Coturnix japonica: one gene and its partners. The protein of the gene in region 6 purifies or fractionates together with the protein of the main gene of each other region. This does not show direct contact. Links are inferred from orthologs where the notes say so. Each region holds a gene or a part of one and is shown on either strand. Other genes may lie near its edges.

Evidence for each region.
Region 1: the proteins of HIF1A (region 6) and KAT2B purify together in Homo sapiens (affinity purification with western blotting; 4 studies listed by BioGRID and IntAct, with this or other methods). This does not show direct contact. The link is inferred for Coturnix japonica from reciprocal best matches to the Homo sapiens genes HIF1A and KAT2B.
Region 2: the proteins of HIF1A (region 6) and FASN purify together in Homo sapiens (affinity purification with western blotting; 3 studies listed by BioGRID and IntAct, with this or other methods). This does not show direct contact. The link is inferred for Coturnix japonica from reciprocal best matches to the Homo sapiens genes HIF1A and FASN.
Region 3: the proteins of HIF1A (region 6) and YAP1 purify together in Homo sapiens (affinity purification with western blotting; 3 studies listed by BioGRID and IntAct, with this or other methods). This does not show direct contact. The link is inferred for Coturnix japonica from reciprocal best matches to the Homo sapiens genes HIF1A and YAP1.
Region 4: the proteins of HIF1A (region 6) and STAT3 purify together in Homo sapiens (affinity purification with western blotting; 4 studies listed by BioGRID). This does not show direct contact. The link is inferred for Coturnix japonica from reciprocal best matches to the Homo sapiens genes HIF1A and STAT3.
Region 5: the proteins of HIF1A (region 6) and SEPTIN9 purify together in Homo sapiens (affinity purification with western blotting; 4 studies listed by BioGRID and IntAct, with this or other methods). This does not show direct contact. The link is inferred for Coturnix japonica from reciprocal best matches to the Homo sapiens genes HIF1A and SEPTIN9.
Region 7: the proteins of HIF1A (region 6) and LAMP2 purify together in Homo sapiens (affinity purification with western blotting; 3 studies listed by BioGRID). This does not show direct contact. The link is inferred for Coturnix japonica from reciprocal best matches to the Homo sapiens genes HIF1A and LAMP2.

What each region holds. Positions count from the first base shown.
Region 1 is NC_029517.1:32,849,232-32,853,330, reverse strand, and holds the start of KAT2B (histone acetyltransferase KAT2B), read right to left. Parts: upstream 2,801-4,099; coding exon 2,564-2,800; intron 1-2,563. UniProt on the Homo sapiens protein: Functions as a histone acetyltransferase (HAT) to promote transcriptional activation. Has significant histone acetyltransferase activity with core histones (H3 and H4), and also with nucleosome core particles.
Region 2 is NC_029533.1:4,307,664-4,311,163, reverse strand, and holds part of FASN (fatty acid synthase), read right to left. Parts: coding exon 3,278-3,500; intron 2,996-3,277; coding exon 2,797-2,995; intron 1,818-2,796; coding exon 1,666-1,817; intron 1,201-1,665; coding exon 1,109-1,200; intron 958-1,108; coding exon 806-957; intron 538-805; coding exon 298-537; intron 1-297. UniProt on the Homo sapiens protein: Fatty acid synthetase is a multifunctional enzyme that catalyzes the de novo biosynthesis of long-chain saturated fatty acids starting from acetyl-CoA and malonyl-CoA in the presence of NADPH.
Region 3 is NC_029516.1:163,478,071-163,482,279, reverse strand, and holds the start of YAP1 (transcriptional coactivator YAP1), read left to right. Parts: upstream 1-1,409; 5' UTR 1,410-1,681; coding exon 1,682-1,999; intron 2,000-4,209. Other genes in the region: CFAP300 (cilia- and flagella-associated protein 300), read left to right, coding at 522-647. UniProt on the Homo sapiens protein: Transcriptional regulator with dual roles as a coactivator and corepressor. Critical downstream regulatory target in the Hippo signaling pathway, crucial for organ size control and tumor suppression by restricting proliferation and promoting apoptosis.
Region 4 is NC_029542.1:4,519,762-4,523,690, forward strand, and holds the start of STAT3 (signal transducer and activator of transcription 3), read right to left. Parts: upstream 2,801-3,929; 5' UTR 2,673-2,800; intron 1-2,672. UniProt on the Homo sapiens protein: Signal transducer and transcription activator that mediates cellular responses to interleukins, KITLG/SCF, LEP and other growth factors. Once activated, recruits coactivators, such as NCOA1 or MED1, to the promoter region of the target gene.
Region 5 is NC_029533.1:3,250,072-3,254,339, reverse strand, and holds the start of SEPTIN9 (septin-9), read right to left. Parts: upstream 2,801-4,268; 5' UTR 2,743-2,800; coding exon 2,649-2,742; intron 1-2,648.
Region 6 is NC_029520.1:49,088,880-49,092,962, forward strand, and holds the start of HIF1A (hypoxia-inducible factor 1-alpha), read right to left. Parts: upstream 2,801-4,083; 5' UTR 2,779-2,800; coding exon 2,669-2,778; intron 125-2,668; exon of another isoform or gene 110-124; coding exon of another isoform or gene 48-109; intron 1-47.
Region 7 is NC_029519.1:15,317,026-15,321,143, reverse strand, and holds the start of LAMP2 (lysosome-associated membrane glycoprotein 2), read right to left. Parts: upstream 2,801-4,118; 5' UTR 2,727-2,800; coding exon 2,666-2,726; intron 289-2,665; coding exon 170-288; intron 1-169. UniProt on the Homo sapiens protein: Lysosomal membrane glycoprotein which plays an important role in lysosome biogenesis, lysosomal pH regulation and autophagy.

The DNA of each region.
Region 1 (4,099 bases), on a different chromosome or scaffold from region 6:
GAGAAATAACCAATTGCACAGAAAATCTAGCTTACTAAAATAGCACCTATTTCAACATATTTTTAAAGAAAAACTCCCAGTGGGACTGGAAAGAAAGTTATGTTTTCACAAACCAATAGTGTGAAAAAAAATAAAAAGACTTCCTCCTTCATCTTCATTAAACATATTGATGTGTGTAAGCGACACAGTGCCGCTTTTATGGAAAGTGCTGCAAACTCATGTATCCAATGCTGAATTTCACACCGGGCAAAACCAAAACGATGTATGCGGTCATTCATATGTGTGCAGATATAGTGACTGCCAAATGCAAAATGCTGCGCAAATACAGCTCTACTGTGTACTTCTAAAAGTCACGGATACTCTGCCAACTCCTTACATATCTCTTATTGTTCAGAATGCACATTCTTCCCACACAGACTCGGGCATTTAAAAGGCTGTTTTACACAGAAGAGTCTGTTCTTGCCCTTCTACCCCGAGCTTTTTATTTCACAGGAGAAAAGTCAAGCAGTGAAGCTCCATGGTGACCACTCTCCTGCCTCAATTCCTTAGCAGGAAAACAAAAACAAACCACTCAAACAAAAACAAGCAAACATGTATTTGCAGTCCCAGGACAGGGCAGCAGATCCCTAACCTCAGTTCTCACTCAGCTCAGCAGTACTTGCAGCCTTCTCTCCAGCATGGCACCTTTCCTCCCCCACCCCAGGCATTCTCCCAGCCACTGACATCTCTCCATCTTCTCACGCTGCTGCTCACCCCAGCAAACCCACGGTCTTTGCCATTCCCTGCATCTCTGGGGGTTAAGCTTGTAATACACTTTGTGTGCTGAAGTAGCAGCAATGTGGGGTGAATTTTACTTAGGCAAAGGTTGTTAACACTAAGGAAACTGTCACACATTTTCTGCCCTCCAACTTATACAGCTCTACATAGACCTGCAGATCAACATGGCTGCTACCACAGAAACCTCATTCAGAGATAGGCTGTTTGAGCTTTCACACGCACACAGAACAAGTGGAACAGGAGTTGCAACCCAGAGTAAGAAAAAGCTCAATGTTCCACTCTGTGCTGCTACAGACTCTTGTATGCCCAAGCAGTTTGGAGCCAGGTGTTCAGGAAGAAAAACAACACATCCTTCCACCCAGCTTCATCCTCTCCCTGTCCCACAGGAGAAAGCACTTGATGAGTTTACAAGGGTGTCTCATTGTTGATGTTCTGAGACCCGAAGGAATGTTGTCTGCCAGTACATTCCCGAAGGAAAGTTAGGTAGCAGAGGCCAGGTTTGCACTGGAATGCGCATAGGGAGTCACACTGAGTACTGTGCTGTGCCTGCTTACTGACAAGGGATGAGGATGAAGCCCAGGGTACTCCAGCCCCACACCCAGGTCCACCAGACAGCACCAAGTGGGCCTCCCTGCAGGACCCTTGGGATAATACAGACACCCCTGCAGGGCACGAGTAGGTGAGTGATCACTGTGCCACCAGCAGCCTGGGAGAGGTTTGGCAGGGCTGGCATCAGGCCCTGCCCTCCCTGAAACACCCACCTCTCCTCCAGCGCACAGGGGCTGCTGAGGCACAGAGTGCAGAGACACTGTTTCATCGCACTAGGAAAGCTTCAAACCACGTTCCCCCACCTTCCAAGAGAGGAGCAGGTTTCCAGACTGGCTGGTTTTAACTGACTGACACAGTGTAACCTCACATCATGCCGTGGACTCAACCAGGCCAAAGCAAAGACGCTTACACATTGGTGAACTGCAGAGACATTGAGGCACGTGGCTTTCTGAGCTTGCCCTCAAATGACAGTATTGCGACATGGCTCCAGCAGACAGCAAGCTCTTCACATCACCAAGCAGGGCAGCGGACCTGCACAGGGATGCTCCCTCGCGTCAGTGGGCATTTAGTTGGGATATTCACTTCATGCCTTCTTGGAAATCCCAAAGTAAGGGAACAGAAAGAACAGAAACACACTTTTCCAGCAAACTGCTCAATTATTTTCAGCACCGAGAGCATTACTGGAGTGTTTTGCATCAGCGCTGCCAACCGGAGCGTGTCAGCTCGCTGCGCATCCAGGAATCGCCCTGACAGCCCCGGCGCGGCCTGCGCTGAGCCCTGCACCGCACACGCACCGATACCGCTCCCGCTGTCACAGAGCCCCGGGGCAGCACAGCTCTAACCGCTCTCCGCACCCGCACAGAACAGGCAGGTCGCGGCCCCCCCGCGTCCATAAGCGGGCTGCAGGTGTAGGGACGGGCGTGTTACGGAGCACAGCGCAGGGCGGCAGCGCCCAACGCAGGGCGGTGTAGGAGGCCGGGGCAGGGCGCGGCGGAGGGCAGGGCCCCGTCGGGCGCTACGTGACGGCGGGGCCGCAACTTTCCCTTGGGCGGAGGCTGCACGCCGCCGTTCCCGAGGCTCCGGGGGCAGCGGGACCCGAGGCTCTGCCGGACCCGCCGTTTCCGCGGGGAGCGCCGGGCTAACAGCCGCGCTGCCTCCCGCCCGGCCCGGCACTGCCTTCCCCTCCCTCCGTCAATCCCCACCCTCCGTGGGCGGGTGGGCGCTCGCGGCCGGGTACCTTGCAGGCGGAGTAGACGCCCAGCTTCTCCAGCTTCTTGGCCCGCGGAGCTGCGCGCAGCTGAGCCTTCTTCCCGGCCGTGCGCGCCGAGCCAGGCCCCCCGGGGCTTTCGGCGGCGCTACGAGCCGGGCCCCCGGCGGCGGAGGCGGCGGCCACCCCCCCGGCTGCCGGGGAGCCCTGCTGAGGCCCGCCGCCTCCCGCCGCACCGGCCGCGGCCCCGCCGCCCGCCTCCGCCATGCCCGCGGCGCGGCGGCTGCCGCCCGCCCGTCCGGCCGGCCGGCGCGGTGCGCCCGGCCCTAGACCCTCCCCTTCGCCGCGCCGCCGCCGCCGGCTGCTCCCCGGGGGGGCGGGAGGAGGGCCCCGGCGCTCCGCGGGCGGCTCCTGTCCCGCCGGGCGGGGGGAGCCGGTGCCCGCCTCCCGCTGCTGAGAAGCGCGGAGTTGAGCGGTGGCGGGCGGCGGCCACAGGCGCCGAGTGTGGGCCCGACCCCAGGGGCTGAGGAGCCCGGCAAAGGGGCGGCAGCGCCGCTTCACCGGCGGAGCCCACGCGCCTCCCTTGCCCCTCGTAGGGCCACGGTTTGTTTGACTTCAGCGGTGCTTTTCCACGCTTTGCACTTTGCGGCTGCTTTTCAACGGGTTTGTAGGTGATTTCCAAGTCAGTCTATACATATCTGTAAGTTTATTTTAAGCGTAAAACTCAAAGATCCTCTGCTCCGTTCCCTGCATGGTCCAGGAACGTCTCGTTTTGGTCCCGGACCGAGTGTTGACAGCGGGTCATCCTATGTCTATTGCCTTTTAATTGAAAGCAACAATTAAGCAAGTGATCCCACAGCAGTAACTGCGCTGAGCGCGCAGGAGTCCCGAGGAAGTTACGCTCTGTCGCACGTATGTAAAATCGCGGTCGAGCCGTGAGAAACCGCAAATGGCACTAACACAGCGGGGCACCACGGCTTAAAAGGTCGGGATTGAGGCTGGGCTCTGGTGTGCGATCCGCAGCTCTTTGATGTGTCAACCTCGGGCTGCAATACCGAGAGGGAGGGGGATCCCGGTGCGTGTAAAACGTGCACTTGTAAAAAAGAAATAGCAGCTCCCGATTTCTGCACCTGCCCCGTTCCGTTCCCTGCCCGGCGTTAAAGCTGCCCCGGAGCCTGGCAGATGTGACAGCGACCCGTAAGATGGCTGCTGCCATCCCCGCTGCTTTAAGACGGTCTGTTAAGGTGGAGAAGCCGCTACGCTCGGAGGCGAAGGGAAACGCAGCCCCTGGCTGAGCAGATGATTAACGGGAATAAAAAGAATGAACCGAGTCGCTTCTGTTAAATCTGAGGATTCTTTGTTGTTACTGGAAGTGGTCGGATCGCTTTTAAAGAATGACAAACAGCCGCTGTATGATAACAACCACTGAAGAACGGTTTCCTCAGCCTCTCCGCTCGCGTTCTTTTATGTCGGCGACGTTTCCACTTCCCCCCCCCCCCCCGACTTGAAAATGAAACTATTACCGCGCAGTTTCACTTTCAGCTTTACCCCGCTCCGCTTTAGTGA
Region 2 (3,500 bases), on a different chromosome or scaffold from region 6:
CAAACTTTTGGTCACTACTGGACACAAAATAATGGAACAGACAGACCTCCAGTCACCCTATCACACAGTTCTCAGGTTCTCATGCAAACCTCTATGGAAATAATCATACCAGCAGTACGACCATGACTGCTAAGGCAAAGGATGCTTCTAGAAACAATCAGAGGCTGAGGTACAGCACATCAGTCCTCACTTTCCTCCCACTACAGGTTGAAAACACTATTCCTCTCAGAGCACACTGCAGCAAGACCCCTTCTAAAAATGAGCACCAACTATGCAATGACTAGACTTTGCATTTACCAAGGATGTGAGCAACAGCTTCTACAAGATCCCGTTGACTTCCTCCTTCACTTTTCACAGAGACCTTCTCTGCCAGGACAAAACTGGACATGACAGGATGAGGCTGATTCAGGAACATATCGAGCACCTCCAGGCATGAGCTGATTTGCTGGAGAACAGTTCCCCCAATCACAACCTCTTTGTTTGCCATTGCCTTCAGGATGCCTACATCACCAATGGCTCCCCACTGGACTGCCAGGCCTGGTGGAGAAATCACAAGGAAGAACACACTTAGCAACTAATTTAAGCACATAGTAACAAAAGAGAGCTAAAAACAGCTAAGCAAAAGTCTGCATTTCTCTTGCACTATTTACAGAAGGATCAGTTTTCTTTCACATCTGAATGATTTAGGTTAACAGCAGCAACAGGAAACAGTCTTCACTCCAAAAAGAGATTCCCTGTGAGTTGGTTCTCCTCTGAATGTCTGGTAGGATTAGATTTTTCCATGCAGAGAATGAATTCATCTTACCTGGGAGCCCATCGTGATGCCGCTGCTCACAAATACGCTCCATGGCAGAATTAGCAAAGCCGTAATTACTTTGCCCAGCATTTCCTCTTCCACAGCTTACAGAGGAGAACACAACAAAATAGTCCAGGTCTGGGCACTTCTTACGAGTCACCCTTGAAATAGAACAGGTGACAAAGAAACCCATTAGAAAAACTGGAAACCACATGTTGCTGTGGAAAGCTAATCTGAGACTGAAATATTGAAGCCTGGTCAACTCAGTGATCATAAACACAGCACAGATTTGTCCTTTCCACAGATACTTACCAGTCCAAATGAAGGGTGCCTGAATACTTGGGCTTGTTGACCTCCCAGAATAATTCTGGGGTCTGATTTTCAATCATGGCATCTTTAAGGACCTATTAGATTGGTTTAAAACAAAGAAATGGTATCAGTATCTCAGTTTATGTTTAAATTTCTCACAGATACAAGAGGATATCACTATACAATTCATTTTTCTAGTTTTACAGCACAGACGTATCCTGGATGTCATGAAATATAAGAAGGCCAATATATCTATTGCTAAGTCTGCTCTTCTCAGTGCTGCCACTGCAGACTTCAACTGGTACAATTTACATAGGGTTCTTCTTGTCCCTAGAGGTCATGGGTAACATTCACTTTAACCCAAAACTGAGCTGGCTGGTCACATACTGCTGCTTCCCAGGTTAAGGGACCTTAAGACCCAAAAGCCTTCAATCATTACCTCAGGCCAAAGGAAAACACCCTTTGAAACAGAGACAGAACCTAAAACTGCACAAAAGTGGCAAAAGCCACTTTTAATGTCTGCTGTCTCTTGCAAGTTTCTAAGCCTTATTGGCACTTACCACAGCCAAATTAAAGATGCCCCCAACTGGTCCGAGCTTCAAAGCTTCTTCTATCAAAAGCTGCGTTCCTTCTAGAGTTCCAACATCGCAGGTAGAGACCAACACTTGGATTCCCAGCGCCTTCCATTCTCTGACACATTTAGCCTGGTAGCCTTAACAAACAAACATACACATGGGATGAAGCACTCAAACCATCTGGCTTTTATTAATCTGCTTCCTACAGTAGTCAGAAAGACAAGACAGGGACTGGATAGCTGAACAAATCCCAGTTCAGCTACAAGAGGAACAACGAACAAAACCTGCATGGTAGAAAGAAATCACTCAAGTTTTAGAGTACCCTAAACAGATCACAAAGACAAGAGATTCAGGAAAACAGGGTGGGAGAGCACATGAGTTACCAAGACAGGAAAAAGCAGCAAGATTAGATCAAGACAGCAGGCAACAGTGGGACAACCAGAACTTGAGAAGTATAAAAAAGATTTGAACTATGTTTGCAGAAGTTGTGAACTTGCTAAAAGAACAAAGAAATTCATAAAGACCCAAATTTTGATAGGGCTGAATTACCCCAAGGGAGCATTGAAGATCAACACTGATAAGGAATCCCAGTACTGAGATTGCAATCAAATTATCCACAATTATCCAGTAAAAAAGTTTCTGGTGTTATTAGATAGCAGGGTACGGCCTTTTATATGAGCCTTATATAGGAGCAAAAGTGAGCAACCACACTCAATTTAAGGGAAAGAGCATCTTTAGCAAAGTTACTACCACTGAACAAAGCGGTGATGTAACTGGATACAGACTTCATAGAGGGAACAAAGCTGAAAATTAAGACTGCAGGAAGAAAATCCTGGGTAAGAGAGAAAGAGACAAACATGGTTTGATAGACTTAGGATGCAGAATAAAAAGAAGAAAGAAGTAGATGGAAAAAAGAGGCAGACTTCAAAGATACTTCATCCTTCAGAACAAAATGAATCACAGCTTGTTTGAAGTGAGAGAATATACATGAGAGAGGGCAAAGAGTTATGAAGATGTTCTTCTTTGCTGATAAAACACTTAAAAATTGAGAGAAACAGCAAACTGAGGTCAGTTGAAAGGAAAATGCGTTCCCCACCCTCTGTGTTTTCTGCTCACCAGTTCGTATGCCAGAGCGAGATGTCAGTACAAGCTTCTGTGCTCCTCTCTCAATTAGCCACTGTGCCAACTCAAGCCCAAATCCTCCTAGGCCCCCTGTGATGATGTAAGACTTGGTAGGTGGGCAGGAAGTTCGGGAGATGGCAGAGAGTTTTACTGGTTCAGACCTTAAGGGATATTGCTTCTCCTCGTCTTGGATCTTCCATAACAAAACAAACAAAAAACATTGAAAAGCACATTAAAATTGGATGCACAAACACAAGTCTTTCCACATGCAACTATGCTCCTCCAGTCAATAGGGAATCAAGCTTTTGGATTCAGAGTGACAGACCTGACAGTGCTATACATGCCACAGTGTCAGCAGCAAAAGCCATAACCCCATGCTGTTACACAACTTCAAGTTGAACTGGATCAAAATACCCAATACTGTCACCTACAGAGGATGACAGGCATCAGGGAATCAACATCCTTATCTTGTTACCTTGATCATAACTTTGCCAATGTGTTTTCCTTGCGCCATGAACCTGAAGGCAGCTTCTACCTCCTCTTTATTGAAGACTGTGGTTTTCAGGGGTTTTACCACACCATCCTTGATGCCTTTTGTTAACAACTTGGATACCACCTCCCACTCTTGGTTTCCTTCCTCAAAGATTGAATCCAGCAGGATTCCATGAAACGCCACATTCTTGAGGAAAAGAGCCATT
Region 3 (4,209 bases), on a different chromosome or scaffold from region 6:
GCTACGGATCTCCTGATCTTTTGGATGCTCGAATTCCGGATTGAATACATCGAAACCCAACCGACAGAAAGAAAAGCAGCCTCCAAACAATCCCCTCAGGCTCCTGTGCTGTGCCGGGCGTTCTGCTGGGGCAGGCCGGGCAGCAGCGGGTGCTGAGCTGAGCTGAGCCCACCGCGCTGCCGGCAGCTGGGGGCGGCCTGCCAGGAGCGGGTTGGGGCGGGGCGTCCATTCTCCTCGCATATTTGTGAGCAGTGGCACAAACTGCCTTCGGTAACAGCTCAGCGCTGCTCGGAGCGCTCCGGAGGGGTTTTCCTTAAACGCCGAGTGAAAAAGAAGCGTTGTTAGAAGGACTTTATGTGTTAATATGCAGCCCGTACCTATTTTATTTGTGTTTTAATGGGACGTGATGGGATCTTTGAGTATTTAATCAGCTGGATTTCAGGCTCCAATCGTGTAATCCTACGCACTGTCCGCTCGGGACACACTCCGCACTAACGCTGCCTCTTTTTCCTTCCCGTCAGGACGGCAGCGGCCTGTGTTACCCATCGCGCTCAGCCCACGCTCAGACCTTCTCGTATCTGCTGCTGGACCCGGCCCGGCGCCACGTGCACACGTTGTACCACCGCTTCGGGGGCGGCGCGCCCTGAGCTCGGCGGGCCGGGCGGGGGCTGCGCGGTGCGGGGCGGTGGGACGGTGGGTACGGAAAGATGTGTGTAACGCCCGTCACACACCCCGTCTTTGGTGCTGTTCTCACGGGGTTGGACTATTCTGATTCTCACGGGGTTGGACTATTGTGATTCTTCTTTTTTTTCCCCAGTTTTGACCCTCCTGATGCTGTTTTCACGAGTTTCGGCCCATTTAATAAAAGTAACTCCTCCAGATGTGTCTGTGCTCGTCCCTTCCCGCTGCTCGGCCGCTGTCCCACCGCCAGGTGAGGCCGAGGCCCGGCTCCCCGCCGCCTCGGTCCCGCGGGCGGGTCGTGCCCCCTCCCGGCCTTCCCCCCCCACGTCTCCCCGAGGGGGGCTGCCCCCTTCCGGGGCGGCGGGGGAGGGGAGGGGAGCGCCGCAGCTCTTCCCAGCTCTTCCCCACCCCCTCGGCGGGAGCCTGAAGTTGGGAAGAGAAGTTGGGGAAAATAAAAGTTGTGGTTGGCGGCGCGGCTCCGCGGCCGGGCGGGCGGCACAAAAGGGACACGGGCGGGACGGAGCGCGGAGCGGAGCGCTGGGCCGGCGGGACGGGCCGAGCCGTGAGGAGACCGAGGGGCCGCTGTGGGGGCCGGGCCGCTCCCTGCGCTTCGGGGCGCCCGGTGGGCGGGAGGCGGTGCGGGCGGGCGCGAGCAGGAGCCGCGAGGAGCTGGGCCGTGTCGGTCGGATACGGTGCGGGCGGGCTCAGGAGGGGCGGAGCCGGCCGCAGAGTGATTCGGGCGGGCGTAACTGCGAACTTTTGTTTGGAGTGTTGTGCGAGTTAGTTTCCGCCGCCGGGACGGAGGCGCCGGCCGGGCTGGGCCGGGCTCGGGGCAGCGCCGCGCGGCCGGAACCGTTTCGGGCCGTCCCCGCCGAGGGGTAGGAAGCGCCGGGGGAACCGAGGGGACGAGCCGCGGCGCGGGGCATGCGGGGCCGGCCCTGAGCGCTCTGAGCCGCCGCCAGCCCCGCGAGGAAGCGCCGGGGGGGTCCCGCAGCCAGACATGGATCCCGGGCAGCCTCAGCCGCAACAGCCGCCGCAGGCGGCGCAGCCCCCGGCCCCGCAGCAGGCGGCCCCGCAGCCCCCGGGCAACGTGTCGGGAGCTCCGGGAGGCGCCGCGCAGCAGCCGGGCGCGGGGCCCCCTCCGGCGGGGCACCAGATCGTCCATGTGCGGGGCGACTCCGAGACCGACCTGGAGGCTCTTTTCAACGCCGTGATGAACCCCAAGGGCGCCAACGTGCCGCACACGCTGCCCATGCGGCTCCGCAAGCTGCCCGACTCCTTCTTCAAGCCGCCCGAGCCCAAGGCTCACTCCCGCCAGGTGAGGGGGGGCGGCCCGGCCCGGCGCTGAGCCGCGATCTCCGATCTCCCTCCTTCCCTCCTTCCCTCCCTCGCTCCCTCCCTCCTTCCCTCCCTCCGCGCCGCCGCCGGGCTCCTCCCGGGGGAGGTGTGCGCTGGGGGTGGGGGTTGGGGGGGAAGGGGCCGGGGCGGGAATCCGCCCTCGGTGCGGGCGGGGGGCGCGGGGCCGGGAGCGCGCTGCCTTCCTCCGCCTCCTCCTCCTCCTCCTCCTCCTCTCCCCGCTCCTCCCGCCACTCCGAGGGGCCGCCGTCCTGGCCCGGGCTCCGGGCGGCCCTCGGGCTCCACATCCGCTCCGTGGCCCGGCCGGGAGGAAAGGCGAGGAGAGGCCTCGGAGCGGTGCGGGGAGCGCCGGGACTGAGGGTTCCGATCGGCGCTGCGGGACGGTCCGCCGCTGGGGGAACGGCGGCGGGCGGTGCCAAACTTTTTCTGTCTTTTTTTTTCCCCCCCGCAATATGGATGTGGCTCTTCCACCATTTCATGTCCGCAATGCGCCGGGTCGGCTCCGTCCGCGGAGCTCCCTCGTGTCCCGGGCTGAGGGCAGCGGGCTCCGCCGCCGTTCCCCGACGGGAAGGGGCCGCGTCGCTCAGGTGTCACTACGAACTAACGAGCTTCACGTTGAGCTGCACAGTCGGTTTTGTTATGGGCCGCCTCCGCTCAATCTGTGCAGCCGGAGCGAAACTCGCTCCGTGTCGCAGCGGCCGCTTCGTGAAGGCCCTCGGCTCCCAGGGCTCTGCGCCGTGCGGAACCCTGGCACGAGTTAATTCATTGCCCACGTACTCGAAAGGCTGCCCAGCCTTTACGGCGTGAGACTGGAGAGAGAATAGCAGGGGTGGGGCTCAGCTGCTCCTATGGTTTTTTGCCTCGCTTCTGAGCTGCAGACTTGTTAATTGCACTTTGAATCCAACCCAATTAATGGGGTTCCTTCGGATCGCTCCCCTTGGTGTGAGTTGTATCTCAGTTTGGTTACACAGAAGTGTGGGCTGCACATGCTCAGCTGCTTCTTGTTGCTGTGTCTTGGCAAACACAGTATCTATGTGCAGTTAAACAAGTTCAGCATGCATTTAATTTTCATGCAACTGTTGCACTTTTGGTGTTCCCTCGCAGTGACCTGTTGCTCCACATCCTCTGTGTGTGCTCCTTCCTTGGGTTCTCATCCCACCCAGGAGCTCCTACAGTGCAGCCTTGATGTTCAGCTGGAGGCAGAGAACCATTGCTCTGTTGTTCACTATCGTTTTTTTTACAGTGCCGACAATAGCAGGACACGGGGAAATGGTTTTAAGTTGAAAGAGGGAAGATTTAGGTTGGATGTTAGGGGGAAGTTGTTCACTAGGAGAGTGGTTAGGCCCTGGAACAGGCTGCCCATCGAGGTTGTGGATGCCCCGTCCTTGGAGGTGTTCAAGGCCAGGTTGGACGGGGCCCTGGGCAACCTGATCTAGTAAATGTGTATGTTTGGTGGCCCTGCTAGGCAGGGGGGTTGGAACTACATGATGCTTGAGGTCCCTTCCAACCCAGGTCATTCTGTGATTCTGTGATTTTCGTAGTTCCCATTTGTTCATTTGTGACATAAAATGTCAGTCAGGAAAGGACGTCTGTATTTCTCTGTTTCAAAAATCAAAGCTCCTCAGAGTCCATTCAGTTGCTCCTCGTACACTGCTTAAATGTAAAAGTAAGCCTCCTCGGTTCCAGTTTAATAAATGACATGTTCACATATAGTTGTAGCAAAATGTCCCCATAGGAGCATATAAGTGGGGCCTTGTATGGTGCAATACCTGCATGGAGAGGCGTGGCTGGACTGATACGTGCATCTCAGTGCACGTGGCCATGTCGTTCTGGGGTATCTATGAGATGATTAATTTTTTTGGTACGTTTACCATTTACCAAAAGGTTTTTAACCCAATTTTCAGCTCTGCTTTGTCTTTTTGGCTTTGGACGTCTATTTCCTACTGCCAAAGAAGCTCTCGTACTTCAGTCTGGCAGCTCTGTGAATGGTCTCTGAGTCACTTCTGATTGACTGGTCAAACAGTTTGCGGAAGCTTTCTTTAGATAAAGCGCTGGCAGGCTCTTTGTGAGTGCCCTTAAAGAGCAGTTGGGCTGCAGGTTGGGAAACTCTGTGCTCAGCCTTTTGTAGCTCTGATGGTTGAGTCCAGGAGTTCTCCCTCTCTTGGAGCTCAT
Region 4 (3,929 bases), on a different chromosome or scaffold from region 6:
GTGAGCGGCTCGCACATCAATAGGAGTCAGAGTCAGCCGAAGGAGCGACAGCAAGCTGTGCAGGAAGCACAGACACAGCAGCACCACTGAGCCTCACCACGGGCTCACTTCCCCCAGAAAGTGGTTTGATTTTTGCAGGCAACCCCAGCAAGTGACACGTCAGCAGGAGGCACAGGGCTGGCACATGGCTGACACCAGAGCTGTCCCAGAGGCACTGGAGATGGGCACTGACTGGGGGGGAGATGTGGGGGCCACAGCTCTGTGCCCCGGGTCCCCCCCAGAGCAGCTGGTGTTTGTTGTATGCGACCCCTCCTCTATTTCTGTGGATAGTTCTTAGAGGAGAAAAAGGGGAATCAGCCCCACCATGAGACGTGGGGAGATGACACACATTGATTGGCACCCGACAAGGAGTTAAGCTGCTTTTTAGAGCTTTGTGGCATTGCGCAGCCCAGCTGACAGCAGCATCCAGAGGACATTAACCTTGAACCACAGCCTGGTGCAATCTCTAGAGAAGATCATGTGAGCAAAGCCTGGATTTAACAGAGCAATAGGTGAAAGGGAGGAGGAGAAACAGGAGCCTGTAAGGAGACAGACATTCTGTCAGACTGGAGGGAAGACTCGGCTCTGTTTGACACGTGTGTGACCCCAGGACTTCTCTTTTCACACCACGACAGGCCGGGCCCTTTGCTGTACCCCATGGCTGCTCACCAGGCACAGCACAGGGAGCGCTCCCAGGTGCTCACACTGCTTTTAGCTGAGTGCTATAGAGGCTGCCAGCACAGTGTGAAACATGATGGGGGGGAAATGAAGCAAGAAACACACAGCCAAGAGCTGAGAATCCACAAACCACCGACATCCGCAGCTCCCGCCCTGCACTGCCCTGATCCAAGCAGGTCTCCCATAAGCAAAGCTCTGCTCTGGGTCTCACTGGGCCGTGTTTGAACCCAAACCCGTACAGCACTGAAGGAGAAGTCCCTGCACACCACCCTGTGTGCAGCCCAGGGAGCAGCAGCTGCCCTGCAAAGTGCTCAGCCACGTTCATCCCTGAAAAACAGAACTTGCACAAAGCAAAACAACCTGCTCAGCCTCATCCCACTGCAGGCATCTCCTCCCAGCGCAGGCACACAAAGTGATGAAGGAAGTGGCTGCAGAACATACGCACAGTACAATAAGAGGCACCACAAAGGACTCAGTGCTGTGGGAGCGAAGCAGCCCGTGGGGATGGTTGCTGCCTTGAGCTGCGCTCACTGCTTGCTGGTCCATGGGTCCTTTCAGCCCTTTTCTCCAGGGATATCAGCACAGACACAAACACCACATTGAGTTTTTACGCCCCTCAGCTTAATGGGCTCCTGACCTACAAACTCCCCCCACGCCACCACAGGAAAAGGGCTGTGAACAGCATCCACACAATGTGCTGCGCTATGGGCTCTCGCCAAGTGGGACAGCTCTGCTGCAGCGGCTGATGGCGGCTGCCAACCCATCAGTCACAGGAGGATGAGGAAAGGGAGGGAACGTCTGGGAGCAGCAAGGAGACAGGAAGAGGATTCTCCTCCTTCACTGCAGCTCACCCCTCCCAGTGGTGCCCAATGCTCTGTGACCCCCTGACCACCTGCTCTATGAAACCTTCCACAGCGCCAGCCCAAAACCCAACACAGATCCCTCTGCAGCCCATCCTGCTGTGGGGAAGCTCCCGGGGCAGGTTTAAAAGCCTGAGGGCTGAGCCCTAACAATGCTGATGGGTTTGCTGCCTCCGTGGTTCATCTCTCACTGCTGGAGAAGAGCCAAAGAGCAACTGATGTGAGCGGGGCTGAGCACAGCATGACGCAAGCGCTGAGGTAAACAAGCTGTGCAGAGCTCAGAGCAGAGCGGCTAAAAGTAGCCCCAGAGTTAAAGTTCATCTTTCTTTAGCTTCCCTGCAAGGGCAGAGCACGACAGCCTGAGCTCAGCAGTGGCACCACAGCTCCACGTACCCCAACAGCCACAATCGAGCAGTGCTGCCATTGAGGGAAACAGCCCCACGATGGGCTCTGTGTGCCTGGATGTACCTGAGAGCATCCCCCTGTGACACAACTTACAGGGGCTTCACCAACAGGAAGAGGGAGCAGAGGGAGAACATTGAGACACCCTGAGAGCGCTGCAGCCACCTGGACGGGGCTCAGTGCCCACGGTGCAGCTCCGCTGCGATAACAGCCACCCCCACAGCACAGCCCAGCCCCGGCAGCGACCTGCCCCGCTGTGCTCTGGCTCTCAAAGTGCACAGCACGGCACAGCACAGCCCGGCACAGCACGGCACAGCACGGCACAGCACGGCACAGCACGGCACGGCACAGCACGGCACAGCACAGCACGGCACAGCACGGCACAGCACGGCCCGGCACAGCGCGGCGCTGCCACACACCGGACCGCAGGGCTCAGCTCCATGTTCCCAGCCCAGGCGTTGTACCGTGCACCCGGCGCAGTGTCCGCCATGTCGGTCCCGCCGCTCTCAGCTCCCCGCGCTCGGGGCTCAGTGCCGGGCTCTGTCGGTGCAGCAGCTTCGGGGCCTCCACGATCGTCCCGTGCTGAGGCCCGTCGCACCCGAGGCCCGGCCCCGCTCCCCCCGCTCCCTCCCAGTCCCGTCCCGTTCCCTCTCGCTCCGTTCCCCGGTTTCCCATAACTCATCTCACTCTCACCGTCGGTTCCGGCCGTGCCGGCGGTTCCCGGTGCCGCTGACGGTCGCGCTCCGGTCGGTTCCCGGTTCCCGACTGCGGCTCCCGCAGCCCCGGCCCCGCCCCCCTTCACGTCACGCGGGGCGCAGCCAATGGCGGCGCGGCGTTCCGTCCGCCTCGGGAGGGACGGGCCGCGACAGCCAATCAGCGCGGCCGTCCCGAGGTGACGTCACGGATCGCGACGGCGCCGCTTGGGGGCGCTGCCCCGCGCCGGCTGTTCCCGGATGGCGCCGCCTCCCGCCGCGGGGCGGTGCTGGGCAGGGGGCGGCGCGGGGGGAGGTGGCAACTGCCGGGAACAGCCGTGCGGGAAACCCGCTGAGTTCCGGGCAGCGCCGTGACGTCACCGCGCGACCCGCCACCGCCGCCGCCTCTTAAAGGGGCCGCACCCCCCGATGTTCCCGGAGCGCAGCAGCGGCCCCGCGCGGAGCGATGCGGGTCAGCGCCCGGCACCGCCCGGTCCGCGCTGCGGGGACACCCCCCCCCCTCCCAGCAATGGGATCCCGCAGCTCCGGGCCGGGCACGGCCACCCCCCGGTACGGACTGTCCGACCCCAGCCCACCCCGTGCTGGATTCAGGCCGTTTCCCCGTCCCGTTGCTCAGCAGGCGCCATGCTGCTCCGTTACAAAACAGCCTTTATTAGTTGTGCTGCTCACCAGGATGCAGTCATACAAAACAATCTGAGCTTTGTCCAACGCGCTGCGACCGACGGGCGGCAGCTCCGCCGCACCGAGCGGGACACGGCGCCGCCAACGGGGACACGCAGCCACGGGCACAGGGCAGCGCCGCGGGGCGTCAGACAACGAGAGGGAGAACGGTCAGAGAGGAAAAGCGAGTTTATATACGTGGGTACGGCGGCAGCGGACACGGCTGCGCGGGGCGGAGCGGGGCCAGAAGGAAACGGCACGTGGGGCAGCGCCGGGCGGACGGGACGGGAACATCCCACCGGCCCCGCGCACCCACATCCCGCACGTGCAGCCGTGGGGCCGCAGCCTCCTGCCCGCTCCTGCCCCGCTGCCGGCGGCGGCTGCGTGTGAGAGCGGTGCGGGCTGAGCCGGGCGGTGCCGCGTGTGAAACTACAGCAACAGAGCGAAGGCACCGAGAGGGGAAATGGGGAGAATGGGGGGGGGGAAGTGCAGGACGTGGGCACGAGCCGGAGCCGCGCCAGGACCCCTGGAGGAAGGAGACGCTCCGAAACGCTCCGGATGTGCTGGATGTCGGGGC
Region 5 (4,268 bases), on a different chromosome or scaffold from region 6:
TGCAATCAGGTGTTGCAATCACTACTAGTCACTTCCATGGGCTATTGTAAGGGCAGCATTAATAATTTACCTAGGATATGGCACTTCCTTTCCTATGCACTCATCCCTATATCAACACAGCAACCAGACTCTTCCTTTTCTTTAATGAAGAAGAAAAGAGCCCCGTGGCACTAACAGTTAAGGCTTTGTAGAAAGTTGTGGGCTAATGAAAACAGCCATCTGCTGGGGAAAGCTGCCCCCAGCCGAGCAGCACCCCGCTGCCACCAGAGCCATCTGGAAAGGCAGAGAGCAGGATCAGATGTGAGCGGGATTGCAGCCTCCGAGCACAGCTGTCCGGTCCCAAACCATGGGAGCAGGATGCCTGGAAACTCATTTTTGTCTTTTTAAGCAGTATTAGCTTGTGGAAATGTGTGTGATGGGGGTTAACCGGTTTGAAAGGAAAGATCAGGTTATATGAGATATGTTTGCGACATGTGCAACTCAAAGGTACCACCAGAGCCTACTGCCTTGCTACGGGGACAAGGAAACCTCACTGCCATGGAGCAGCTCCAACATCACCCCCTGCACTCAGTGCCTTCACCCCGAGAGCTTGTTGTCAGCATGGGATGCTGGACCAGGGACACTGCTCCTCTCCAGGAAAGCCTGAGCCGTCTTTGTACAGAGGAGACCCCATGGGACGTGCTGAGCTCCAGCAGCTGTGGGAAAACAGCCCTCAAAGAGGAGAAAAGCCCAATTCCCACCCGCCCCGAGGTGCCCTCACCCCATCCGGCAGCAATACAGTCAGCTCAAGAGTCAGCTCTTCCCACCCACAGCAGAATACTAATTAAAAGCATGTTCAGAGCCAGAGCAGTGACGAATGCAGCCCCCAGCACTGCACAAATCTGCTTTCATCTGAGTCATGTTTCGGTTTAATCACTGAGGTCAGAGTGCTGCTGCACTGGGGGCAGTTCCACCCCGGCCATGGGGTGCGAGGAGCACCTTCTGAATGGGGCAAGCTGTAGCCTGTTCCTCTTCTCCCCAGTGACAGTACACATTTTGCACAAAGAACCTCATTAAAGTTATTTCCTATGCCCCCATGAACGGGATTCACATTCTCTGCAGCCCCTCTGCTGCTGCCATGCTGAGGATCTTCCTCCACACGTCTCCCTCAGCCCCTCCAGATCAGGACAGACAGGAACAGCCCTACTTTCCCCATCCCCCTATCCCGTATTTCATGCTGAGCCACACATCAGGAACGGTGCTGAGACAGCTGGAACAGCTCTCCCATCCTGCAGGGCACAGCAGCCATGTGCCCATCCCGTGCCAAGCCCTATGGGCACAGTGCCTTAGTGTAAGGGCTGGTCATGCTCAGCTACGCCTGCCCCTATACCTGCCCACAGCCCTGCTGGTGCCACACCTGCAGCACTCACAGAAAACCTGTTTCCAGCAAGGGACAGAGAAATATGTATGTGCTTGGATGTAGGCAATTTACAAACATCACTCGTGACCTCAAGGATGAGCATAAGCATCACTGCACAGACATGCTCACCTTAGATCTTCCTACCCTCTGCTGCTGCACTCCTGGGAGCAGCGACAGGCAGCCCGGACACGAGGGCTCATACTGTGTGAAGCAGCTGAAAGGTGAGAGAGACCCACCTTCACTGCACCTCTGTAACAAAGGACCCCAGATCACACCACCACCCCAGCGATCAGTCTTTCTGTAAAGCCCCCATAGGGGAACCAGGGCTGCAGGGAGACCACAGCAGGAGGTGTGTGAGGTCAAACTGCAATGGGACCAAACCCACCCTGCTGCCCCCCAATCCCCACATCCCTGCACACAGCAGCTGAGGGCTTCCCAGCCTGCAGCACTGCCTCTGCCCCAGGAGCAGCTCTCAGGAATGCTTTGAGGTGGTCTCAAACCAGAGGAGAAAGCGTGAACAAGAGAGATGAGGGACAAGGATGCATCACCCACACTATGCAGAAGTGGTGAGGAGCAGCGGGTGCTCCCACAGGCAAGTGCCTTCCCTGAGACCCTCCACATATACCGAGAATTGGGCCCTGCAGCTCTGCCTGGGGGTTGGCCATGGCAGCAGCTTTCTCTGGCCACAGTTTCACTCCGCCCTGGATGAGCGTTTCCTCTCATCCCTGTGGTTTCCCTTTAGCAGTGATGCCCAGCAACTGGTTGGGAACGCCCAGCAGCAGGCTGGTGCCCGCCAGCTGTGCAAGGAGCACGGACACCCACAGTGACATCCCGCTGGGGCTCCCAGCTCCAATCCCTGCCCCTCACCTTCCCTCCATGGTTCCATGCACGGAGCCTCGCAGTGCACCCTGCCCCATCTCCCTGTGCAAGGAGCAAAAGGTTACAGTCGTGGCCACCCTGGACATGCTGCAGAAGCAGTTTGCTGAGACACCGATGCACCCAGGAGCGCATTTTGGAAGCGCTCAGACATGCACCAGGATTTGCACAGGAGTGACTCACTCCTCTTTCAATTCCCTCCATCCATGCCCTCCCCAGCGCCCCAGGCTCCACCAGGTGAGCAGCAGCATCAGCAGCAGGATGCCTGGCAGCAGCTGGGGCCACATCCATCCCAGCCGGGCAGGCGGCAGCACAGGGCAGGCAGAGAGCTCAACCACAGCACACAGCCACACACACGCACTCAGGAGCCAACCTTCAGGGCAGAAATGCGTCTCCATGCCAAGAGCTCGGCGCTTTTCCTCCCTCTTCCCGACTGGCAGCTCGGAGCTAACAGGCTCAGCATTCATCCCCCCGCGCCGCGCGGCACATGGGAACAGAGGAGGGGGGTGGGGGGGAGGTGGAAGAGAGAAACTCAAATGAGATCCAGACTCAGAGAGCAGTTTCTTTTTTCCCCCACTCGCTCCCCCCCTGGTTTCTGCTGGAACCACCTTCTGTCTGGAGGGCTCAGGAGGGAAGGGAAAAAAAAGGGGGGGTGGGTAGGGGGAAAAGGCAAAAAGGAAATGTTGCAAAAAATAAATAAATAATGGAATATGCTGAACGTGCTCCGGAGCGGGGCTGCTGCTCCTCCTAAAGTGCAGAAGCTGCTGGAAAGGTAGGAAGGGCAGAGGCAGAATAGAAGGTATTAAAGATCGATTGCCTACCTGAAATCCGGTCCCTCTCCATTACTACAGGATATATTTAGCATCCGCGTGTCACGGCCGTCCCTTTTTTCGGTGGCGTCCCCTTCTTTCACCCACTCTCCCTCCCTCCTTGCCTTGCCTCCTCCTCCTCCAAAAAAAGCTCTTTGTCTGGTCTAATTTCTTCAATCTGTTGCAATCATGAATGCATCCAAATTACCACATTTCCATGTGCTGATCATATGTTTGTGCTCCAAACTGAAGTAGCTTTGTCTCTTTGAAATGAAAAGAAAGAGGAAGGGAGGAAGAGAAAGGAGGAAGAAGGAGGAAAAAGGGGGTGCATGACCCCAAAATCCTGGAACTCCCCGAAATACTCCACCAGGCACAGGAAGAATGGAAATCCCAAGTCCTCTGTGAAACAGTCTTAAAGCCACAGCTCGTGAGTGTCGGGGGGAGCACTCCGCTCACCGCAGCTCTGTTAATATCCACCAGGAGATGCTTAGGGAACTTGGCTCCTCGCAATAACAGCGCCAACAACTCATCCAGCGTCTCCAACCTCTCCCCGCTTCCCCAGCCTGATTTTGCTGCTATTTCCTCTATCCCCTCCTCCTTCCTTGGCGAGAGCGTTTGCGAAGAGCAAAGCTCCTGCGCGTTCCCTCCACCCTGCCAGGTCTGAAGTTTCGATTCATGCATAAACTATTCGGCTGATGAAGGCTGACTTCACTCCCGGCACAGCACCACGGGCTGCTGCTCTCTGCACATGTTGACCCTCCCCTGCAGCCGCCGGAGAGCTTCACGCCTGCTCCTGGCGAGGATTCCCTGCTCTGCCTTGGCAGTTCCCTCTGCTCAGCCTCGACGGAGGGATGTGATGGGCCGGCCTTGCGGAAACTTCCACTTGGATATCGGCCAGGGCAGGCAGCAGGTCTATGGCTGCAACACAGGGATGCCTGTGCTCCCTGTCTCCAACCTTTGGGCACACAGTGGGGATGCCCCCCTCCAACTAACCCTGGGGGGTCACCACTGTTCCTCTGTGCCCCCCAAATGCAGGGATGCAGCAGATGTCCCCCTAAGTGCAACACAGAGCTGCTGTGGCAGATGGGGAGCACTGAGCAGCGGAGCTGACTGCCCACAGCCACCCCCCGTGCCACCCACTGCAAGTGCCTATTGACATCCTGCAGCCTGAGTCACTCAGCCAG
Region 6 (4,083 bases):
AAACAGAACCGACACTGTGATGTACACATCCATTATGTGTTCGCTACCTTAAAGGAACTGCTAATGCATCTTCCTGAAAGCACCATTTCTTCAGCTTCAGACGACACATTTCAGATGTCTGGGTAAAAAAATACACCAACATTTTAAAACACCACATTGTTGTGCAGGTCTGAATATCTGCTCCAGCAGAAAGAAGTGCCACATTGTGAGTATCACAGAATCACAGAATGACCCGGGTTGGAAGGGACCTCAAGGACCATGTAGTTCCAACCCCCTGCCTGGCAGGGCCACCAAACATACACCTTTACTACATCAGGTTGCCCAGGACCCTGTCCAACCTGGCCTTGAACACCTCCAAGGACGGGGCATCCACAACCTCCCTGGGCAGCCTGTTCCAGGGCCTAACCACTCTCCTAGTGAAGAACTTCCCCCTAACATCCAACCTAAATCTTCCTTCTTTCAACTTAAAACCATTTCCCCATGTCCTGCTATTGTCAGGGTCTGTCTTGGGACCAGTGCTCTTTAACATCTTTATTAATATGATGCAACTTATCTTTATCAATGCACTTATTCTGATATCTTGCATCAAATCAGGCTGGTACGAACAGGCATAGCTTCAATGAACCTGTGCTAATTTACATCAACTGAGGCTATGGCTCCACATCAAAGAACCCTGAAGCATTCGTCACCTATATAAACTCCATTTAAATATATGTATATACGTATGCTGGCATGCATTCACTTGATTTCATGTTTCCAATCACTCCAGAGCTTATTTAGATTAAAACATCCCAAGTAGAGGAAGCCCCCACCAGCCTTCATGGCCAATTATCATTTGGAAACCTGCATCTTTCCTGAATTTACTGTCACTAAAGGACACTAAAGGCTTTTCTCTTATCCTTGCCCATTTCTATACATCTCAAGGCCACAAAACCCCAAAGCATCTCCCATCTTCAAGCAGCGCTCAGTGGAAAATAGATTCTCCTGCCTGCCCTAATATGAAAGAAGGTTCTTGAGAGAGGCTCCCAAAAATTCTCAGATGTGAAAGAGAAAGGGCTGTTATGACATGAAAAGATGATTAAGGTCTAAGTTCTTTCCATGCACTGCCGAGGATTTTTGGAGGCATGTAAACACCTGCCTATATACCCGTGTAGGTTAAGATAAAAGCAACGCTTGAGTTGATGACTCGTCATCTGGAACATTCCTCTTTCCTTTTGGGCATCAGTGAACAACACAGGAGGCACAGAAGTTCTTGCAAGATTTGTTTTTGTTTTCAAGTATTTTGTTTTTAAAGAACACACTGTAATCTCATCTGCATTTGCATCTCCTCAAAAGAGCAGTATCAGGAAAATCTCGGTACTCCCTTAATGCCACCGCGGAGCCAGGCCATACCTCCCACCTGGCGTTACTGAACAATGCCTGATTATTTGGTTGGCATATTATAATGCCAAGCTCCCAATGAGACAACACTGACCATTTTTCCCTTGCAGCACAAAACCAAGTGCATAAAAACAGTGGTTTCCGTGATGCAAAGTTCCTTCTCATACTGAAAAAGTCATGAGAACCCAGCTGAAACCCAGCCCAAGACACAGCAGCGCAGCATGAACACACAAGAATGCAACCTATTTTATTACATAGGCTCAGTAACAGTCTTCAAGGCTTTCAGATAAGAAACACACCAAGGAGAACACGCACACTCCTAAGAGCTTCAGAAGAGTTTGTGCTTACTCCAAAACAGTGCCAACACAGATAGCATTGTGAACGGCTCAATTGCTTTCTCCCAACTTCACCATCAGCAATCTGATTCCTGGGAACAGCTTTATGAACTCCAGGCACATAATTCAAGGATATGAGGGAACAAAGGTCTATCAAGTTGCTTTCACTCCATGCGGAGGAGGAACAAGCAGTTCTAACTACACTCACACTGTTAGATGTCTCAGTAGTTACATTAGTAACAGTACGATCTTCTCAGATCACTGGTCTGGTGGCAGAGTGCACAGAATCACATTTCTTGGGGCTTACAAATGCCATAATTTAACATAACTGCAGCTTAAACTAAGGAAGCCCTGCACAGAAGAGGAAATAAGATAGATTTGCTACCTCAGACCTCAATCTTTAAATCAGTAGCTCACCAATTGCCACGCCAGCATTAGCACACAGCCCCTTGCCATCCCAGCCCCCCCAGCAGCCCCCATTACCCCAGCACACCCACCCCGCAGCTCTCCACTCAGTGCAGAATGGCTGGGGAGGTTGTTTTAAAAGTACAAAGCAAACATCCCTAAACAAAACCCAGCAACCCCCTCCTGCTGCTCCCACCAACACACTACCAGATCCCCAAACCATCACCGACAAAAGCGAACCAAACCACCGACAGTGCAAAACTAAGTAACCACAGTGGGCAAATCCTCCACAGCTGCTCCTTTGCTCATTTTCCGTGCCTCGAAAAGCAGAAGGCAATGCCACAGCACTACGCTGCTGCCTTCATTTTAGTGGTCTATTCTGATCACTTCTAGTGAAGGTGCTTCAAGTTTGAGGAAAAGGCAAAGAAGAGACAACTCCGGCAATGTTATTTAAGTCCTAAGGGAAGCCAAATAATCCAGAATAGTCCAGAAAGCTGTAAGAACAGCCACTTTATGTAATCCACGAACCACCCCTGCCCTCCCCATACCTGCAGGGAAGTTCTAAGGGAGACTGAGAAAGTTTTCTCCTCTTCTTCCAGCACAGAAAGGCACGGTTATCATACATACAAAAGGTTTTTGTATTAGCTTTCAGCCCCATTCATGGTGGCTCAGTTCCACCGGCGCTGAAAGAAATGCAGACAGAAAGCAGCAGCACACAAACCCTCACAGCCCCATGTAGGTTTAAGGATCAGAGCCAGCAGCACCAAAGCGGGCACCTCAGGCAGGTTTGGGCTCTGACCTCAGTGGCAGAGATACAGCAGAAAAACCTCGCTTCTTCCTATCAACCTCTTTGATGCCAGATGATACAAGTCCCATCTACAAGAAACTGAAAAGCTTTATCAGCTTCTCAGATGCTCAACTCACTACCCTACACCAAACTCATCTGTACCACCTGAAGACCCAGAGCTCTTGAGAGAATACAGTTCAAAAACCTGCTTGTCAACAAGACTGTTTTTAAGTAACTCTAAATGATGTATGTACTTAAAAGCCTGAGAGATTCCCTCTCCTAATAACAAAGTATCACAGTGCAGAATGGACGGAAAGCCTGTCCCAGCAGGAGCCACCTAACCAAGGGTTTGCTGAAAGAATATTGAGAAAGTCACCGTGCTTCTAAACCTGAATAAAATGGTAGATACAAGCAAACAGAGCTCACAAGAGCAGTTTTACTTGCTCCGTACGCTGAGACAAACTGAGCCCTTGCAACAAGGAGGGAGAACACAATGAGAAGCACATAAAAATGCTCCAATGACTGAGGAATAGCTAAAATCCAAGTGACTGTCAATGCATAATCATGGCACTGCTGATACACACGGGGCGGGGGAAGGGTGTTGAGATTCCTTGAGAAATCAAACGACACTGAAGTTTGGAACTACCCAAAGGAACGCGTGCCACAAACCCATAAGTGAATCTGCTTCCAGTTACTGTGATGACTGAATTTCACTTATGTAAGAATGAGGGACACACAGGGTCAAAACTCCCTGATTTCTGTGTCTCACAGCACATCGTTAGCAAGCAATGAGCTTCACTAACTACTGGGAGATAAAGACCCAAATGCAAGTGCGGCAAGAAACGAGCCTAACACATGCTGAAAGCAACCTGTGATAGGTCAGCAATCCAAGCCTCCCTTATCTAAGGACAGGACGGAGGGGGCTCTGCCCACAGGTAACTCCAGACAAGAACACTGTCAAACCTAAACCCTTCTCCACCAACCCAGGCTCTTGAGCAACGCTTGGGATTTACAACAAGCTCTCTGCTGAGCTCACATCCTTCCTTTTTCACTTTGCTATCTTTGTTCAACTGCAGGCTCGCAGCCCCAGGATGAGCACAGCTCAACACCAGCTTTATGTTTCAAATGAAAGCATACCCTGTAACACAGGTAACCTCAGTATTCCTCAGTGCTTTA
Region 7 (4,118 bases), on a different chromosome or scaffold from region 6:
TATAAACCTGGCAGGGTTAGATGGAGCCTTGCACAAGATCAGTATGATTATTTTAGGCTTTTATCTTTTACCTTTATCAAGAAAGCCAATAAACTAAATACAAAATGTATCAAATAGTTTTATTTCATGCTAAATGCAGTTCTCAACAAGAGTTCCTCCAAATACTTACATAATCGCTACTGTTTGTTTCATACTTTATCAAGAATTTCATCATCCATTGTGCATACAAGCATGTAACATTAGAGGCATCCTTTACATCTACTTCCACTGCATAGGACTGGAAAAAACCTGTAAGATACAATTATTAGCTATTAAAACATAGACTTGATGCTCATTACAAAGTAGTACATGATTTCAGATTGGATTCTATTTGTCAGACACTGAACCGATAGCCAGATATCTAATAAATGTTAAAACTAGGAAGCCCACCATCAATGCTAAATACTAATTGAGAGGATAATTTATAGTCTACTTGCCTGACCAAGGCCAACAAATTAGATGAGCTTTAGCTTTCTGCTGGCTGAAACTGAGTAAACCAAACTGCACAAGCACAGCATTTAGAACAATGCAGTGCTTGTCGACCAGAGTCTCCATGTTGTCTTATTAATGGCACGACTCCAGCTGACCTCTCAGATCAGTGTGCTTTCATTGCATCTCTACAATTTCTGGCTCAAAGGACACGGATGTTAAATTTCATTCAAGGTTTTAGAGAACTTGTAGTTGGATTTTTAACCCAGCCTGACTCCCAACACAGAGACTTCCCCAAAGCCAGTTCTCATTTGGTTTTGTTCAGCATTCCCAGCCTGCCACAGTTCCCTAAAACAGACAGGATCGAAACGTTAGAAGCATCATTCCTGACTAACATAAGGTTGATGTTAGTCAGGCTCGTTTCCCTAAAGTGATGGTAACTACGATTGCACAGTTCTCTTCAATAGCCATTCAAGTCTTCCACCCCTCAACACACAGAATCCACAGTACTTCACGCTTTGCATCACCTTGACATTAAGGACTTCCTCCCTGCCCCATACTGGCTCTCTTCCACCAGCATCACAAAGCTCCGCACACAAGACAGTTGGCTTTAACAGCATTCAAGTGCAGCCTGCATTGTTGATGCTGTTCAGAGTAAGAAGTACCCGAGGTAGAGCCAGGAGAAACTTAACCATGTTGGCTCTGAAGCAAATTGTGCTCAATACCACACCATTAATTTATCAGTGCTGGAACCCTAATGGAACTATTATGTGGTAAGAACACTTCAGACTAAGGACAAGGCAGTAAATGAAGGTTTTCAAATGGTTTATTCTAAACCTGAAGCAGTAAACCTCAAGGAGTTCTAGCTTCAACAATGGCAGCACATACATCACCCCACCCGACCAAGCATAACACCTGATGATATCACTTAAGCATCACGTTCAGTAACCCAAGCCACACTCTATTTATTTACAGGAGGCACATAAACACGCACCCTGTCCCCAACAGCTCACAGAACAACTTATTAAATAAGCCCTAAGAGTCTCCTGACAACAGCCATACTTCTTTAGTTACTGATTCTCAGTAAGCAGGGTAACAGATCCAAGCAGTACGTCTCATGCCTAGGCTAGGAGCCTGCACGTTGTTAAAGCAACGGTGCAGTGTGGCTTTTACAACAGTTACTGTTTGTGCAGAGATGGATGGTGCAACCGAGAGATAACAGCTTTGCAATCTGCTACCACGTAGCACCGGAACTCGTTGCCAAGAGTCAGTTTGGAGTTCCAGCAACACTAAAAGTCCTTCCCTTCTGAGCTGAGGAGGGATTTGATACTGCACCTGTGCACCAGTGCTTCTCGTTTCAGAAAGAACGTGGCCAAATCTAAAGCTTTGGGCAACCAGTGCAACCCATACACACACACACAGGTGCTCTCTCCGCAGGGAAAACAGCTTGAAACTAACTTCTCCAAAGGGGATATTTCAGCATAGGTGCTACCAAATAGGACAGCAAAGAGAAATGCCACACCAAGCAAGTTCATAGGGCAGACCAGGCACACCCTGGCCTACTTAGTTATGCTGACAGCAAGTAACTGCAACTGTAAAAGCAGATATCGGTGTGTTTCCTCCCCAGTAGGGGTTCCTTCCAGATGCCATAAGAAAGCACACGTTCCTCATGCCCCGTATGAACTGCGACGCTTATCGCACACCGTTTGAAAAGCAGAGGCCCCAAAGCCTCATGGCACGGAGCGACATCCCAGCTCCTCTCACCCTGCTTGTATAACAGCGTTGGAGACGGCAGAGCCCACCGTCACACGGCAGGCTATAGGCAGGACGGAGCCTGCCTTAAGCCTGCGATGCCCCTCCGCAGCTCCGCGCTTCACACCCAGAGCTGTGGCTCCCGATCAGAGCGTCCTTATTTCGCTTTTTATTCTGCCCCAGCAGAAGGACAAGCAGGAGCCCCGTAAGGTCCGTTTCCCCTCTGCACGCACAGCCGTGTGGCTGCATTAGGCCTCACGCAGCGGGTTCCTCGCCCCGCTCCGACCCTGGGAGGCGCCGCCCGGTCCGGCTGGGCCCCGCCGCGCTCCCCCCCGCCCGCACTACGGCACTACGGCAACCGGCCGCGTCACGGGCCCCAGGGACAGCGGCACGCACCCGCACCCATACACACCCACCCACACCCACCCCGCACCGCCCCGCTCACCGCAGGTTCCGAGCAGCAGCAGCGACAACAACTCGAGTCCGTAGGGGCGGCGCGGGGCCATAGTGCCGGCACAGGGGCTCTGCCGAGGGGCGGGCGGGCGCGGCAAGAGCGTCGACAGCGGTCATGTGAGGGGAGGGCGGCGCCGCCAAGCGCCGGGCGGAGCTCGATCCCGCGGTTGGCGGATCGGTTGCGCCCCTCGCGGTGCCGCGGGCGGGTGGGTTTTCTGTGTGCAGCGGCCCTGAGGGATGGTAGATATCATAACAAGTAAATCGGGTGATGTGCAATAGAGCAGAGTGAAATTAGCATCTGGTGTAGGGCTAAAGTAACAGGGCGGCTTACAGTTCAGTACAAGGAAAAATGGTGGGAGAAACAGCGTTGCCCAGCACAGCCTGGCAGCAGAGCGCTTCAGCTGCGGCTGTTACTGGGGTAGCACGATGGCCACGGCTCTAAAACAATGGCTTTCTATCTAAACTGCATGAAAGCTGCACTTCACACTCGCTCCGAGCAGATGGCGGCCTTTCTGAGCTGCTGTTTTTCTGGAGGAGGTGGTGATGGGAAACCAAACCATTAAATGCTGCCGGGCCAGCAAAGTGCTGAGTCAAGACCGGGGCAATCACGTGGAATGCCAAAAAAAGAAAGCTTTGTGCTGAGGTGAAGGGATCAGAGCCCAGGCTGCTGCAGGATTTCCTGCTAAAGCCCACTGAGAGCTCACGCTGTGATACAGCTGGATAAACATGCTCCCAGCCTGCAGGCAGAAGCAAAGGTAGGGAGGCGGTGCTGGGACACGGGTGTTATACAAGCGTGCTCAAGACGTCATTTTAACTATGTGTTGGCTGGCGTATTATGCCTGTAAGCAGAGTTCTGTAAGCAGGCAGTGTGATCAGCAGCTCCTTGTCTGTCCCGCTCTATGGGCATAGCCCCCAGTCACACGCTACGTCCAGCCCTGAGCCAGCACCTCTCCCTGCCTTGTCCTGAGCAGCAGAACTCGTGTAGGCAACAGCAGCGATCCTGCTCGTAGCTCCTCATCCAGAACACTGCCAGGGATGGCAACTGCACCACCTCCCTGGGCAGCCATTCCAGTGCCTGATCACTCTCTGAGAGAAAAAGTTCTTGCTTATATCTAGCTTAAACTTCCACGGATATGACTTACGGCCATTTCCTCAGGTCCTGTTTGTTGCCTGGGAGAAGAGGCCAAACCCCTCCTTTCCTTTCAGGAAGTTGTAGAGTGCAACGGGGTCTCCCCTGAGTCTCCAGGCTAAACAATCCCAGCTCCCTGAGCCGCTCCTCGTAAGACTTGTGCTCCAGACCAGTTTTGTTGTCCTTCTCTGGACACATTCCAAGGCCTCAGTGTCTGTCTGAGGGTACATTCAATCCCCTCATCCAGGTCATCAGTGAAGATATTAAACAAGATGGGCCCCAGAACCGACCCCTCGAGGACACCACTTGTAATGGG